Callithrix jacchus: one gene and its partners. The protein of the gene in region 1 interacts with the protein of each later gene in a biochemical or structural test. Links are inferred from orthologs where the notes say so. Each region holds a gene or a part of one and is shown on either strand. Other genes may lie near its edges. The genes, in order: PINK1, FBXO7 and BAG2.

Region 1 (3,574 bases):
ATCTTCGGGCTTGTCAATCCCTTCTACGGCCAGGGTAAGGCCCACCTTGAAAGCCGCAGCTACCAAGAGGCTCAGCTACCTGCACTGCCCGAGCTGGTGCCTCCAGATGCTAGACAACTGGTGAGGGCACTGCTCCAGCGAGAGGCCAGCAAGGTGAGATTGTCCCTGGCTTCAAGAGGACAGTGTGGGTGGAAACCTCAGTTCTCGTTCCAGAGTGAAGATTAAGTTTGGGCCAGCACCATGGTGACAGAGCCTTTGTTAGGAAGGTGGAAGGTAAAGCCTAGTTATAGGAGAATAAAAAATAGATTTTAATGTAGATAAAAGTAGGAGTGTTAGCCACCACATCATTGTCAGAGTCCTAGTAGTTCAACTCCTGTGGCTATTTCAGTTGCTTAAAAAGTTGTTCAGAGGCCGGGTATGGTGGCCTATAATCCCAGCACTTTGGGAGGCCGAAGCGGGCAAATCACTTGAATCCAAGAGTTCCAGACTAGCCTGGCCAACGTGCTAAACCCCATCTCTACTGAAAATACAAAAATTAGCCAGGTGTCATCACATGCCTATAATCCCAGCTACTTGGGAGGCTGAGGCAAGAAAATCTCTTGAACCTGGGAAGTGGACGTTGCAGTGAACCAAGATTATGCCACTGCACTCCTGGGTGACAGAGCAAGACTCTGTCTCAAAAAAAGGATGTATTTTGGAGAAAGTTTGTTTTTTGTTTTTTGTTTTGAGATGGAGTCTTGCCCTGTCATCCGGGCTGGAGTACAATGACACGATCTTGGCTCACTGCAGCCTCCACCTCCTGGGTTCAAGCAATTCTCCTGCCTCAGCCTCCCAAGTAGCTGGGATTACAGTTGCCCACCACCATGCCCAGCTAATTTTGTATTTTTTTAGTAGAGACAGGGTTTCACCATGTTGGCCAGGCTGGTCTCAAACTCCTAACCTCAGGTGATCCACCCACCTGGCCTCCCCAAGTGCTGGGATTACAGGCGTGATCCACGGCACCCAGCCAAGAAATGTTTAATGGAGATGTAGCTCATGGAAACAGCTGAGAACTGATCAGAGAGATAAATGAGAAACATCTTCCGAGAGCAGATGTGGACATTATGAAATTAATATAAAGGAATGCAAAGGCAGACCTATCTGAAGCCATAATTGGAGTGACAGCTGGCTCAGGGGCAGGCTTAGTGCAAAGAGCTAAGCCATACCTGCATGCCAGCACTGTTTTGCCACTCCGTTAACCACTCCCTGTACGTGGCCTGCTTATCTTGGTCACAGTAGGTGCACAGTGAAGGTTAGAAACTGCAATCAGTTATGAAATGATTAGAGACAACTTAAAGGGACCAGACAGCACAAGAGGCACTGGGCTTTCCACCAGGAGGAAAGGCTATTCCAACAAGCATGCTATCCCATGCAGAGGTGTACATGTGGAAAAGCTTGGAGCATGGGTAGGGGGCAAGCCGTATTTGTCACCTGAATAAAGGACATCAGTAGGAGATAGGGTAGAGGAAGAACTGGATTGGGGCCAGAGAAAGGAAGACCCTCACTAACAAAGCACGCTTTGGGTTGAGACTGTGTTAACAGATGTTGTAGCTTCAGCTTCCCTTCCTGTTGCAGAGACCATCTGCCCGAGTAGCCGCAAATGTGCTCCATCTAAGCCTCTGGGGTGAGCATATTCTACCCCTGAAGAATCTGAAGTTAGACAAGATGGTTGGCTGGCTCCTCCAGCAATCGGCTGCCACTTTGTTGGCCAACAGGCTCACAGCGAAGTGTTGCGTGGAAACAAAAATGAAGATGCTCTTTCTGGCTAACCTGGAGTGTGAAGCGCTCTGCCAGGCAGCCCTCCTCCTCTGCTCGTGGAGGGCAGCCCTGTGATGTCCCTGCATGGAGCTGGTGAATTACTAAAAGGAGAAATTGGAAGGCTCTGTGTCATGATGGTCTGTGAGTAGTGAGGGTGGGAGTCAGGAGACAAGATGGTGCAGAGAGCGTTGGTTAGCCAAAGAGAAGGCCTCAGGCTTGGCAAATGGAAGAACCTGAGTCAGAGTTCAGTCTGCAGCTGCTAACTCTAGCTGTGCAATTTGGGATGAATCTTATAATCTGTGTGGACTTAAGTTCTCTTGCCTGTAAAACGAAGAAATTGGTATAAACCAGGAGTTGGCCACCTTTCCGGTTGTGACAACTAGTCAGTCTTCCTTGTGGCACAAAAGCAACCCTGAGCACGTAATAAGTGTGGCTGGGTGCCAGGAGAGCTTTATTGATGGACACTGATGTTTGGTTTCCATGTGTCACTAGTCTTTTCAACCATTTAAAAATGTAAGGACCATTTTTAGCTTGCAAGCCATATACAGGTTGCAGGCTAGATTGGCCCACACACCAGTTTGCCAACCTCTGGTCGAGATGAATTTGAAGAATCTAACTCTACAAAAAAAAAAAAAAATTTTTTTAAAGCAAACTGATCACTAGGTCTGTTTGTGCGTCCATACTGGGAAGAAAAAAAAAAAATGTGGTAAGCTTATCCCTGTGTAGGAAGCCGAAGGAATGCATTCTCTTCACCGGTCAGGAAGGTAACTCAGGCTTGATTGCAGACTTCAAAGCCCTGTCTTCAACCCTTGCCCTGTCCTCGGACGTCTGAAAAGTTAGTGGCCAAGCTGATGTATCAGAGGAGGCTGAACTGAGGAGGGGTAGGCCTGCATCCACAGCAGAGGATCCAGGCCAAGGCACTGGCTGTCAGTGGCAGTTTGGCTGTGACCTTTGCCCCTAACACGAGGAACTTGTTTGAAGGAGGCAGTGTAGCATGTCTGCATTTGCCACCTGGACAAAGGCAGCCATCAGCATGGGTCAGCACATTCAGTTATAGGAGTGGGAAACGTCCACACGAGGCTTGGGAGGTGGGGGCCTCTGTGTTCCCAAGCTGTGCATTCTGGACCAGCTACTGAATTAATCCCACATAGCAAAGGTGACTGATGAGCAGGAAGTGTGGGGATTTAAACTTGAGGGTTTCCCTTCTGACTAGCATCTCTTACAGGAATTGTGAAACATTAAATGCAAATTTACAACTGCAGACGACATATGTGCCTTGAACTGAGTATTTAGTTTTAAGAATGATTCTTATATGCTGAAGGTAAGAACATTTTGTGGGCAGTTATCAACACTGGGAAAAGATTTCACATATAACTTTATACATGATTTTTAGAACATGGCTATTGCCTAAACAAAGCAAGGGTGGAATGCAGTTAAAATGTGAACATACGGTTAAGGTTCTCTTCCACCGAGCCGTTCTAGCCTTCTCTTACCTGGCTCTATCTTTCTAGATTTCCCATTATTTCAGTGAGTCCCGCCCCTTGGTCTACTAGCAGCTTTCTTGTATCCTTTGAGGAGACCTTAGGAAACACCATCACTTCATAGTTAAAGACAGTCCAGTCTTAGGCAAAATTTCACAAAGACACTTAGGATTTTGTATCCAGTCAGTCATGACCAAACAGCACCCCCATCCCCAACCATAAGCAAAGCAGGACAGAGGCCAGGTGAAGTCTGAGGGCAACGTCTCTCTTTATTTTAGAAATGAGAGTGACTTCAC
Region 2 (4,159 bases), on another chromosome or scaffold:
AAAATGCCAGATCCATATATTCATAATCACAAAGAGTTAGAGCAGTATATGGATATGACTGAGTATAAATCCGTCCCTCTTACTGATGACAAGCTAAATTCATCCTTGTACTGATGATCAGTTATGATGCCTTTTAGTGGGACATAGTACAAACCCAAAAGCCCACTGCTAAACAAGCTCAGAATTCTTATAAGCCTGAAGCAACAAAATCCCATTCTTTCTGCACCACAGAATATTTGACATTAGAGAAATACAATGTTCTTCATCACATAGTGAGGGATAACTAACAAAACGTTATAAAACATTTTAAAAGATATGTACACTTGGCAATGCTAATTTCATTAATTTTTTGAGAGGTTAACAAAAGATGAAGTCCTTTAAAAATTATGTTGTTTACTTATTCTCATAAAGCTGTATTTTGAAAAGTGCTCCAAATAATTCATGTTTTTATTTCACTCATAAATATATTTTTTTCTTAATAATTGAGGTGTCTTTGGGAGAGAAATTAAAATTAGTGAAATAGAAGCCATTCCTGTTTGTCAGAAAACAAGCAGCCCTGTTTCTGTTTTCAAAATGCTTTGATAAGCAAAAAGTTGAAACTCTGCCACTAGCCCACAAAAACACCATCCCAACTTTGGCAGAAAAAGGAAAAACACCTCAAATGAACTACATGTTTATGGGTCATTTGTCACAGCAAAAGGTTGCTTTTTTAAACAGCATCTAGTACAATGTACATTCAAATATCTGTAGAAAAGGTCATGGTCTGCTTAATAAATATACCAGCTTTTCCTCCCACTTTAGAAAACGGGAAAAGCTATTTCTAAAGAAATATGTAGTTTTCCAGGGTTCTATCTCTGAAATTGGGGAGTTAAGAGGAGTATTTAATTCCAGGAAATGAAATTCTAGAAACTCCAGGCTTTTTAAAAGTATTTCATGGCTGCTCTGCCTATGGAGTGGCCATTCTTTTCTTCCTTTACTTTCTAAATAAACTTGCTTTCACTTTTCTCTTAAAAAACAAAAATGAAACAAAAGTATTTTATGACAATCCTAGATCCACTTGCTCAGTATTTTTAAAATAATATCATATGGACATATTTTAAAACTGCTCACTTAGTAGAAGATGAGTATACTTTCAGAAAAAAAGAGTTTACTTTCACAAGTTGATGCTTAAATTCTTTCCAGGTAAGCAGCCTCAACTGTAAAAACAAATCTGAAAGAGAAACCAACTTGCCCCTTTGGGCAAACAGCCATATTGAGTTTCACATCTTTTCAGGACTGCCTAATTTAAAAACAATAAAATATATATACACCTTTAAAAGATAAGTTAATTTTGAAGATTTATTCAATCTTCTACTGGTAACCTACTGGTAATGATGCCAATATGGAAAACACACAGGTTTAACAAGAAATAACAGTAGGCATGTCACTTACTATAATGTTTAAAAGGAGTTATGTCAGCATCTTATTTAAGGTTTTTGTTTGTTTTTTAATCTGGAAGAAAACAGGCTTACTTTCAACCTAATAATGTCTTAACCTGAAAAATGAAAGGGTGAGAAGTTTGGAATAACGGCCTCATATTATGCAATCCCTAAAAATAAGGTGAAAACGGGGAACATTGTTATTTTTCCTCAGCACACTCAAGTTTCAACTTCACTAGCTCAGTATTTGAAGAAGACCACTCTTACACTGTCACTTTACTCCCAGATTATTGTCTCCCCCAAAAAAATATCTTTTGGGGAAACAAAGCACCTTATCTGGAGTCCCATAAACGAATAACCGAATATGATCCTTTCTCAACTTTATGCCCCCAAACTGCAAGCTCTCAAGAGCAACGTTTTCCTCAGTTTTAACAAAAAGCAACATTTCGCCCAGGAAAATCGAATGGTCTGAAAGACGACTACACGCTGTACTTTCTAAAACTTTTCAGCAGCAGCTAAGTCCAAGCACTCACCGCGGTGCCTGGTGCACGAACCACTCTAACAGAGTCCTAAAATTGCTGCAGCTTCACAGCAGCGATAAAAGCTGCCTCCGATGGAGGGCAGATTTTTAACTTGTAGCAATTTCCAAACTTTTTCATTGAAATACTCCAACAGCTGAAGAAATTAACTCGGACCCCCGACAGTCCAGAAAGGTTTAACCTAAGCCAAGCTCATCATTTCCAACTTGAAATTTAACCAGTTGTGGGAACTGTGAGTTCACTCTTCTCCCTGGTTTCGTGTACTGCAAAACCAGAAGCCATGACTCACCAAGCAGAGGACCAGAGCCCCCAAGAGGCTGGGCCATGTTCTCCAGGAGCCGGACCACCGACGACCACCTGCGCGTCCAGTCGCCGGCAGCCTAGGGCTCCGCGACGCTCGGGAGAGCCCGGGCCTCACGTGATGGCCCCGGGGCGTCCACGCATCTAGCCTAGCGCCCGGCCACGCCCGCGCCGGCAGCCCACAGATGACTCCAAGCCGCCCAGCACCCACCTCGAGCACTCCCCACTACCCACGGGCCGCTCCGCCCCCGGCACCCGCCTACCTGTAGCCCCAGGTGGGAAGCAGGGCCAGGCTCAGGTGCGTGCGCAGCTGCCCCAGCGTCGGCTCCGCCTCTGGCACCTCCACCTGCTGGGTCCGTTTCTCAAGCCGTACCCGCAGCTTCATGACGGCGGCGGGATCCGCGAGGATCCTGGACCCAGAGGCGGCGACGGGGACAGCGGGGGGGCCGAGCCGCTCCTGCTTCAAACGGCTGCGACCCCGGAGTGGCGACTACGGAGCTGAGGGATTGCTGAGGCGGAAAGGGGAAAGAGCCCCACTACGGTGGCCGCCCTGCTGGCCGGTCTCTGGAATGTGAGCACCCGCCCCTCTCCTGAGGGCGCCCCCTGGAGCCGACCCCGAGAGCGGGCGGCAGGCAGGCGGCTTACAGGAGCCTGGCCGCGGGACTTGCGGGGGGGTGGGAAATTGACCGATCGATGACTCGGCGCGCAACGGCTCTACCTGATAGCATGGGCACAGTGCGCAGGCGCCGAGATGCAGCTTTACGTTGGCTTCCCAGCTCTTCCGCCGCGGTGAATGAGACTTCCTGAACTTGCTAACGTGGAGCAACCGTGGTGCTGTTAGGGATGCTGCAGACAATAATACAGTCGTAACTCCCCGGGACCTAGTGTCACGCCATTTCTTCCGCGGCCCCCAGCTCCAGCGGCATCTGCTCTGAGAAGACTTAGGTTAAAAGTCCTTAGGTTGGCCGGGCTCAGTGGCTCACGCCTGTAACCCCGACATTTTGGGAGGCCGAGGCGGGTGGATCACTTGAGCCCAGGAGTTCGAGACCAGCCTGGGCAACATGGCGAGACCCCGTCTCTACAAAAACTTAGGCGTAGTGGTGCGTGCCTGTAATCCCAGTTACTTGGGTGGCTGAGGCGGGAGGGTCGATTGAGTCCAGAGGTTGAGGCCTCAGTGATGGCACCACTGCACCTCAGCCTGGTTCCACAGAACGAGACCCTGCCTTTAAAAAAAAGTAGAGCTGTTTGTAGGCGGTGCTCTATGTTGGACAGTTTATTAGAAATCTGTTGCTGCATAACAATCACCCCAAAGTTTAATTCCATAAACATTTGTTGTCCCACAGGTTTTAGAGGTCAGGGATTTGCGGATACGTAGCTGGGTGGTTCTGTCTCCAGGCCTCCCATGAGGTTACAGTCAGGGTGTAGGCCAGGGCAGCAGTTATTGGCTAGGGCCAGAGGATCGGCGTCCAGGATGACACAGGACTGTTGGCTGGAGACCTGTTTTTCACCACATGAACCTCCCCATAGGGCTGTTTGAGTGTCCCTATGACACGGCAGCTGGCTTCCCTCAGAGCAAGTGATTCCAGAGAGACCAAAGCATAAGCCACAATGTTTTTTATTACCTAGCTCCAGAGGTCACATATGGCTATTGTCATATTTACAAACCAACCTTCTGTGAATCCACCAAAGGCATGAATGCCAATAGACTGGGATTGCTGCTGGCCATTCTGGAGGCTGACTACCATAGAGGGTCTAACTAATGATAACTTAGATGAGAAAGAATAATCAAGTTTCATCCTTGTATGATAACCATAGTCCAAATCCTTGTAAGAGTCACAAAACGTTTCTACCAGTAGGTGGCAGCACTTGTCCACATCGCGCCCTTCATTCTGCAAATAAATA
Region 3 (4,272 bases), on another chromosome or scaffold:
ACAAAATGCAGTCCAAAGAAAAAAGGCTAGTGTTTAGATAAATTCCATTAGAGATAAATAAAAACCTTTAACAGTTAGTAGAACTGCTGTCAAACATTTTAAATATCATGTAGGTCAGTTCATACTCCAGGTCACAAAACATTTGGCATAATCCTATTTTCAGTTTCATAGGGAAGAAATTTCTTACTCAATTGATAGGACCAATGTGGTTAGGGAACGTTAAGTGCACACAGCTAAGTACAAACTGTAAGGTTTTATTCTACCCAGTTACACTACTTTATTACTCAACATACAATCAAACTACTAGAGCAAAATTACATAAGAGTTTCCTAGTTTCTTTTAAAAATCAACCTTGTTGTACTCATGATTCTCGTTTTAATAGTGTAGTGTTCTGTGCCATTGCCCATGTGGTTTCAAAAAAACTTTAATAGGATCAGTATTAGCATTTTTTCTCTATTTTTGCTTACCTTCAGAAATCCTTTTCAGCCAGTACTACTTTTTTAAAAAGAAGAAAAAAAGCCTACAAAAGTCTAGAACTACTAAAAAAAAAAGGCCTTGAAACAAACAGCCACATATTAATCAGACTTTTCTCAACTCAAATATTAAGCAAGTTGTAATTTAATCAGTGATGTGCAGTAATCAGAATTCATTTTACATTAATCAAACATTAGAATATAATAATCTTCAAAACCTGAGGCTTTATTTTAAAGAGGAGCACTTCAGAGTGCTTTTGTACCTACCACATGTGAGGCATTTCAAGTTGGAGGACAATGACTCCGCTTGAAGGAAGGCAGGGTGGAGTAGCATCCTCCCTATTCCTTTAGGAAAAAATCTTTTCTTTCTAAGGGAGAGCCAGAGTGAAGTGGTTGAGAACATGCCCTTAACATTCTTAAGATATGGAGAAGTGTGGGTTACTTGTTACGTGGCTCCCTAAGGAGAAACATTATCAGTTGGAGGGACTTCAAGTAACTGAAGCCACTAATTTCTGCTTTCGCTCTACTTTTCCTGGGAGTGGAATGGGTCAGGTTTGCTAGTACATAGAAAATCCATGAGGAAGCATTACTTCTCTCTTCCACTTGCCTAATTCTGAGTGGAACCCCAAAACCCGGCGTAGGGCTGAGGTTTCTCTGCTGCCATCCATGAAATTATCGTGAGTGGAGAATCTCTCCCTCTCTGGCTCTTTTCTCCCAGTAGTAACAGTAACAGTGCCTCACTAGTTAAGAGATACCGTGGTTATTGAAGTATTTTCTCGGCAAACGGACACTTCATGCTTGGGTATACTAATGGAGGGAGATAAAGACACACACAGAGTGTTTCCCCAACTTTTTGGCTCACATGCCTCTGCTCATGCACAACCTAGAGAAAAAGATGGAACCAACTCCTGTGTACAGATTCAGGGGATTGCAGGTGCCTAACACGATTTTCTTTTAACTACACTTGTTCACAAAAATTTCACAGGAACTTGAAACAAACATTCAACAGGAAGTATATAAAACTTTTCAATACACCGTTAAAGTCCTTCCATAAATCTATTAACATTAAATTGTTTCGAAATTCTACGCACGTCTACTTCTATATTACCTAATAAAATCTTAAGCAAGAAAAGGAGAAAACTACCTTTTCATGCTTTCAGGCCAGAGACTATCACTTAGTCTTCCATGCAGGGAGGTGCCCAGTACGGAGAAACTAACGGAGCGGCTGAATACCGCCAGCGAGGTTAGGGGAGACAGGGGAGGCAGCAACGTCTTCACTGCACTAAACACCCAGTAACCCTACCACCCACCCCTCACCCCTCTCTAATCTGCTCTCAATGGATCGCGGGGTTGGTTTTGTTTTTTTCCATTTTTGCTCCGAAGTGCTCTGAAGCAGGGAAACTTAATTTCACGTGAAGGGCCACTGTAAACTGCTGCCTCCTTTAAAAACGCATACGGGAAAAGAGTAAGTTAAAAACATCTGGGGCCACACAGAAGGTTCTAGAAGTTCTGCAGACCCCGGCTGCCACAGTCCTTAATCGCATGGAATCTCACCGGGACTTTTATATCCTCTGATTTTTTTTCCCACTCTCCAACACCCAGGTAAGTCAGAGTGTGGCCACTGATTACGCCCTCACAGGTTTAGCTTAAATCGAACGCGTCCTCTGTCGGACTAGGGGAGAAAATCCGAGAAACAAAACTGCTCCACGTCCATCCACCACAAATCTCAACAGGAAACTTCTGCGGCCGCCGCCTCACTGTGCCCCAGACCCCGGCCAGCCACACACGGCCTCCGTCCGCGAACCGCGGCGCAGCTAGCAGGACGCCCGAGACCGCCCGCCCGTCAGCCCGCTAGCCCGCCAGCCCGCCGCTCACCTGAGCTCCAGCTGGTCCAGGCTCTCCAACAGGCGGCTGGAGCGGTCGGCCATGGAGGAGGAGCGGCAGAAGCGCCCCTCGTTGGCTTTAGCGTTAATCTTCGCTTGAGCCATCTAAGCTTCTGACGTGGGGCAGCCGAGAGGTCACCGGCCCCTCCGGCGGCGGCGAATGGAGCGCTCCTGCGGCTGCAAGCGCTGCCGTCACTACGCGGGAGCCCGCCCTCCCCGCCTCTGACGCCCGCGGGAGCAACCCTAGAGGACCCGCTAACACCGCGGCTGCCGCGTGGCCAAACAAGGGCAGGCGCGGCGCCCGCGGGGCTCGGGGATGCCGGGCCAGCGAGGGAGCAGCCGCGGCCGGAGGAAGAGGTGCGCGGACCACGAGCGCAAGGCTCTGAGGCGCCAGGAGGGGCGCACGCAGAGACGTAGCGCTTAATGTGGTCTGCCGGGTCTGCCGCTTGTCTCGTCAGCTCCTCAGACCCAGGAACTACCCGAAGCGCGCGCGGACCCACAGACCACCCCCAGCTCCGCCCTGCGAGGCCCCGCCTCTCCGTGCAGACTAAAAGTAACCAACTCCCCCCACGCGAAGGTTCCTATCGGTCGATGGGCTGTGGGTGTATTGCTCAGTAATGGGTTCGTTTAGTTTCTCCCAGCACCCATAATTCAAAGCAAGAACAACGACATTTGAGTCCTGTGATATGGGGAGAAAACGGCCTTATGTAAAACACAAGGCAGTACAGCTTCTAGGCAGACTACACGCACCTGACCTTCCTATTACCACTCTTTCCTGAGATGAGTAATGAAAGCACCTACAGCAACTGAAGCTTTGAAAAAGAAAAAGCTATTCCATCTCTCCTTGTCTAGCTAGATGTGGGAAGCAAGGTGAATATATTTCATTTTTACCATTCTATTTTGAATTTGAGACTGGGTCTGTCACCCAGGTTGGAGTACAGTGGCACGATCACGACTTAGTGCAGCCCTGACCTCCTGGGTTCCATCGGTCCACCCACCTCAGCCTCCCAAAGTGCTGGATTACACGCTGGGCTTAATGAAGGGGTTTTTAATTTTTGCTATTAAAATTATGCCTGTTAAGTGAACCAAGATCTCGCCAACTGCTTCACACCAGCCAGGGCGACAGGGCGAGACTTTGTCTCAAAAAATAATAATGATAATACTTCTGAGTGAAATAATTGGTATTAAGGAGTCTTCAACTTTTAAAAATCTTCTGTTAACAAAAAGATGCAGAAGGCCTCTAGGTCAGGCATGAGCTGTAGTTGACAAAAGATGGAGTAGAGCTGAGAGTATAAAGACTGGACTACTTAAAAAGTGAGGCTTTGGTCCCTCTCCTGATAGCTCTATGCCTCTCATTGCAAGGATGAAAATCTACAAGGCACAGAAAATGATAGATAATAATAGTTTAAAGTTGAACCACCACCTTTAATCAAAGAGATCAAAGCAGTTTAAATACTTGAACAGAGTTGAAGCCCTTAAGGCTGGATCCCAATTCCCTCTGAACTCATTCTAAATCCTAATTAACTATTGGGGTAGGGGATTATTTGACCTTATTAAAAATACTCTGTCATGACACAAACGAAATCAAAACACATTTTGTGAGTGGTCTGAAAGCCTATCAAGTGACTTTGGAATCATCCTGAACTCTTTTTCTCTCATAGCCTACCTAGATCCAGCCTATTAGTAAATCCCATCAATTTTACCTTCAGAATCTATCTAGATTCTTCCCAATTATACCCCACCATTCTGGTTCAAGCTACCTGGTAAGATTGCACTTGGAGTACTACAATAACTTCCTCTCTGGTCTCCCTGCTTCTACTCTTGTCTCTCATGTACATATTATCTCAGTGCAGCAATTACAGCAATCCTAAATAAGGGAGATCATACCATTTATTCTCAGAAACTCTCAATGGCTC

Evidence for each region.
Region 2: the proteins of PINK1 (region 1) and FBXO7 form a complex in vitro, tested with the Homo sapiens proteins (2 studies listed by BioGRID, with this or other methods). The link is inferred for Callithrix jacchus from reciprocal best matches to the Homo sapiens genes PINK1 and FBXO7.
Region 3: the proteins of PINK1 (region 1) and BAG2 form a complex in vitro, tested with the Homo sapiens proteins (2 studies listed by BioGRID). The link is inferred for Callithrix jacchus from reciprocal best matches to the Homo sapiens genes PINK1 and BAG2.

Annotation. Positions count from the first base shown.
Region 1 is NC_133508.1:57,507,032-57,510,605, forward strand, and holds the end of PINK1 (serine/threonine-protein kinase PINK1, mitochondrial), read left to right. Parts: coding exon 1-153; intron 154-1,614; coding exon 1,615-1,872; 3' UTR 1,873-3,058; downstream 3,059-3,574. UniProt on the Homo sapiens protein: Serine/threonine-protein kinase which acts as a sensor of mitochondrial damage and protects against mitochondrial dysfunction during cellular stress.
Region 2 is NC_133502.1:203,544,267-203,548,425, forward strand, and holds the start of FBXO7 (F-box only protein 7), read right to left. Parts: upstream 2,926-4,159; 5' UTR 2,643-2,925; coding exon 2,521-2,642; intron 2,508-2,520; exon of another isoform or gene 2,284-2,507; coding exon of another isoform or gene 2,247-2,283; intron 1-2,246. UniProt on the Homo sapiens protein: Substrate recognition component of a SCF (SKP1-CUL1-F-box protein) E3 ubiquitin-protein ligase complex which mediates the ubiquitination and subsequent proteasomal degradation of target proteins and plays a role in several biological processes such as cell cycle, cell proliferation, or maintenance of chromosome stability.
Region 3 is NC_133505.1:65,540,629-65,544,900, reverse strand, and holds the start of BAG2 (BAG family molecular chaperone regulator 2), read right to left. Parts: upstream 2,834-4,272; 5' UTR 2,462-2,833; coding exon 2,349-2,461; intron 1-2,348. UniProt on the Homo sapiens protein: Co-chaperone for HSP70 and HSC70 chaperone proteins. Acts as a nucleotide-exchange factor (NEF) promoting the release of ADP from the HSP70 and HSC70 proteins thereby triggering client/substrate protein release.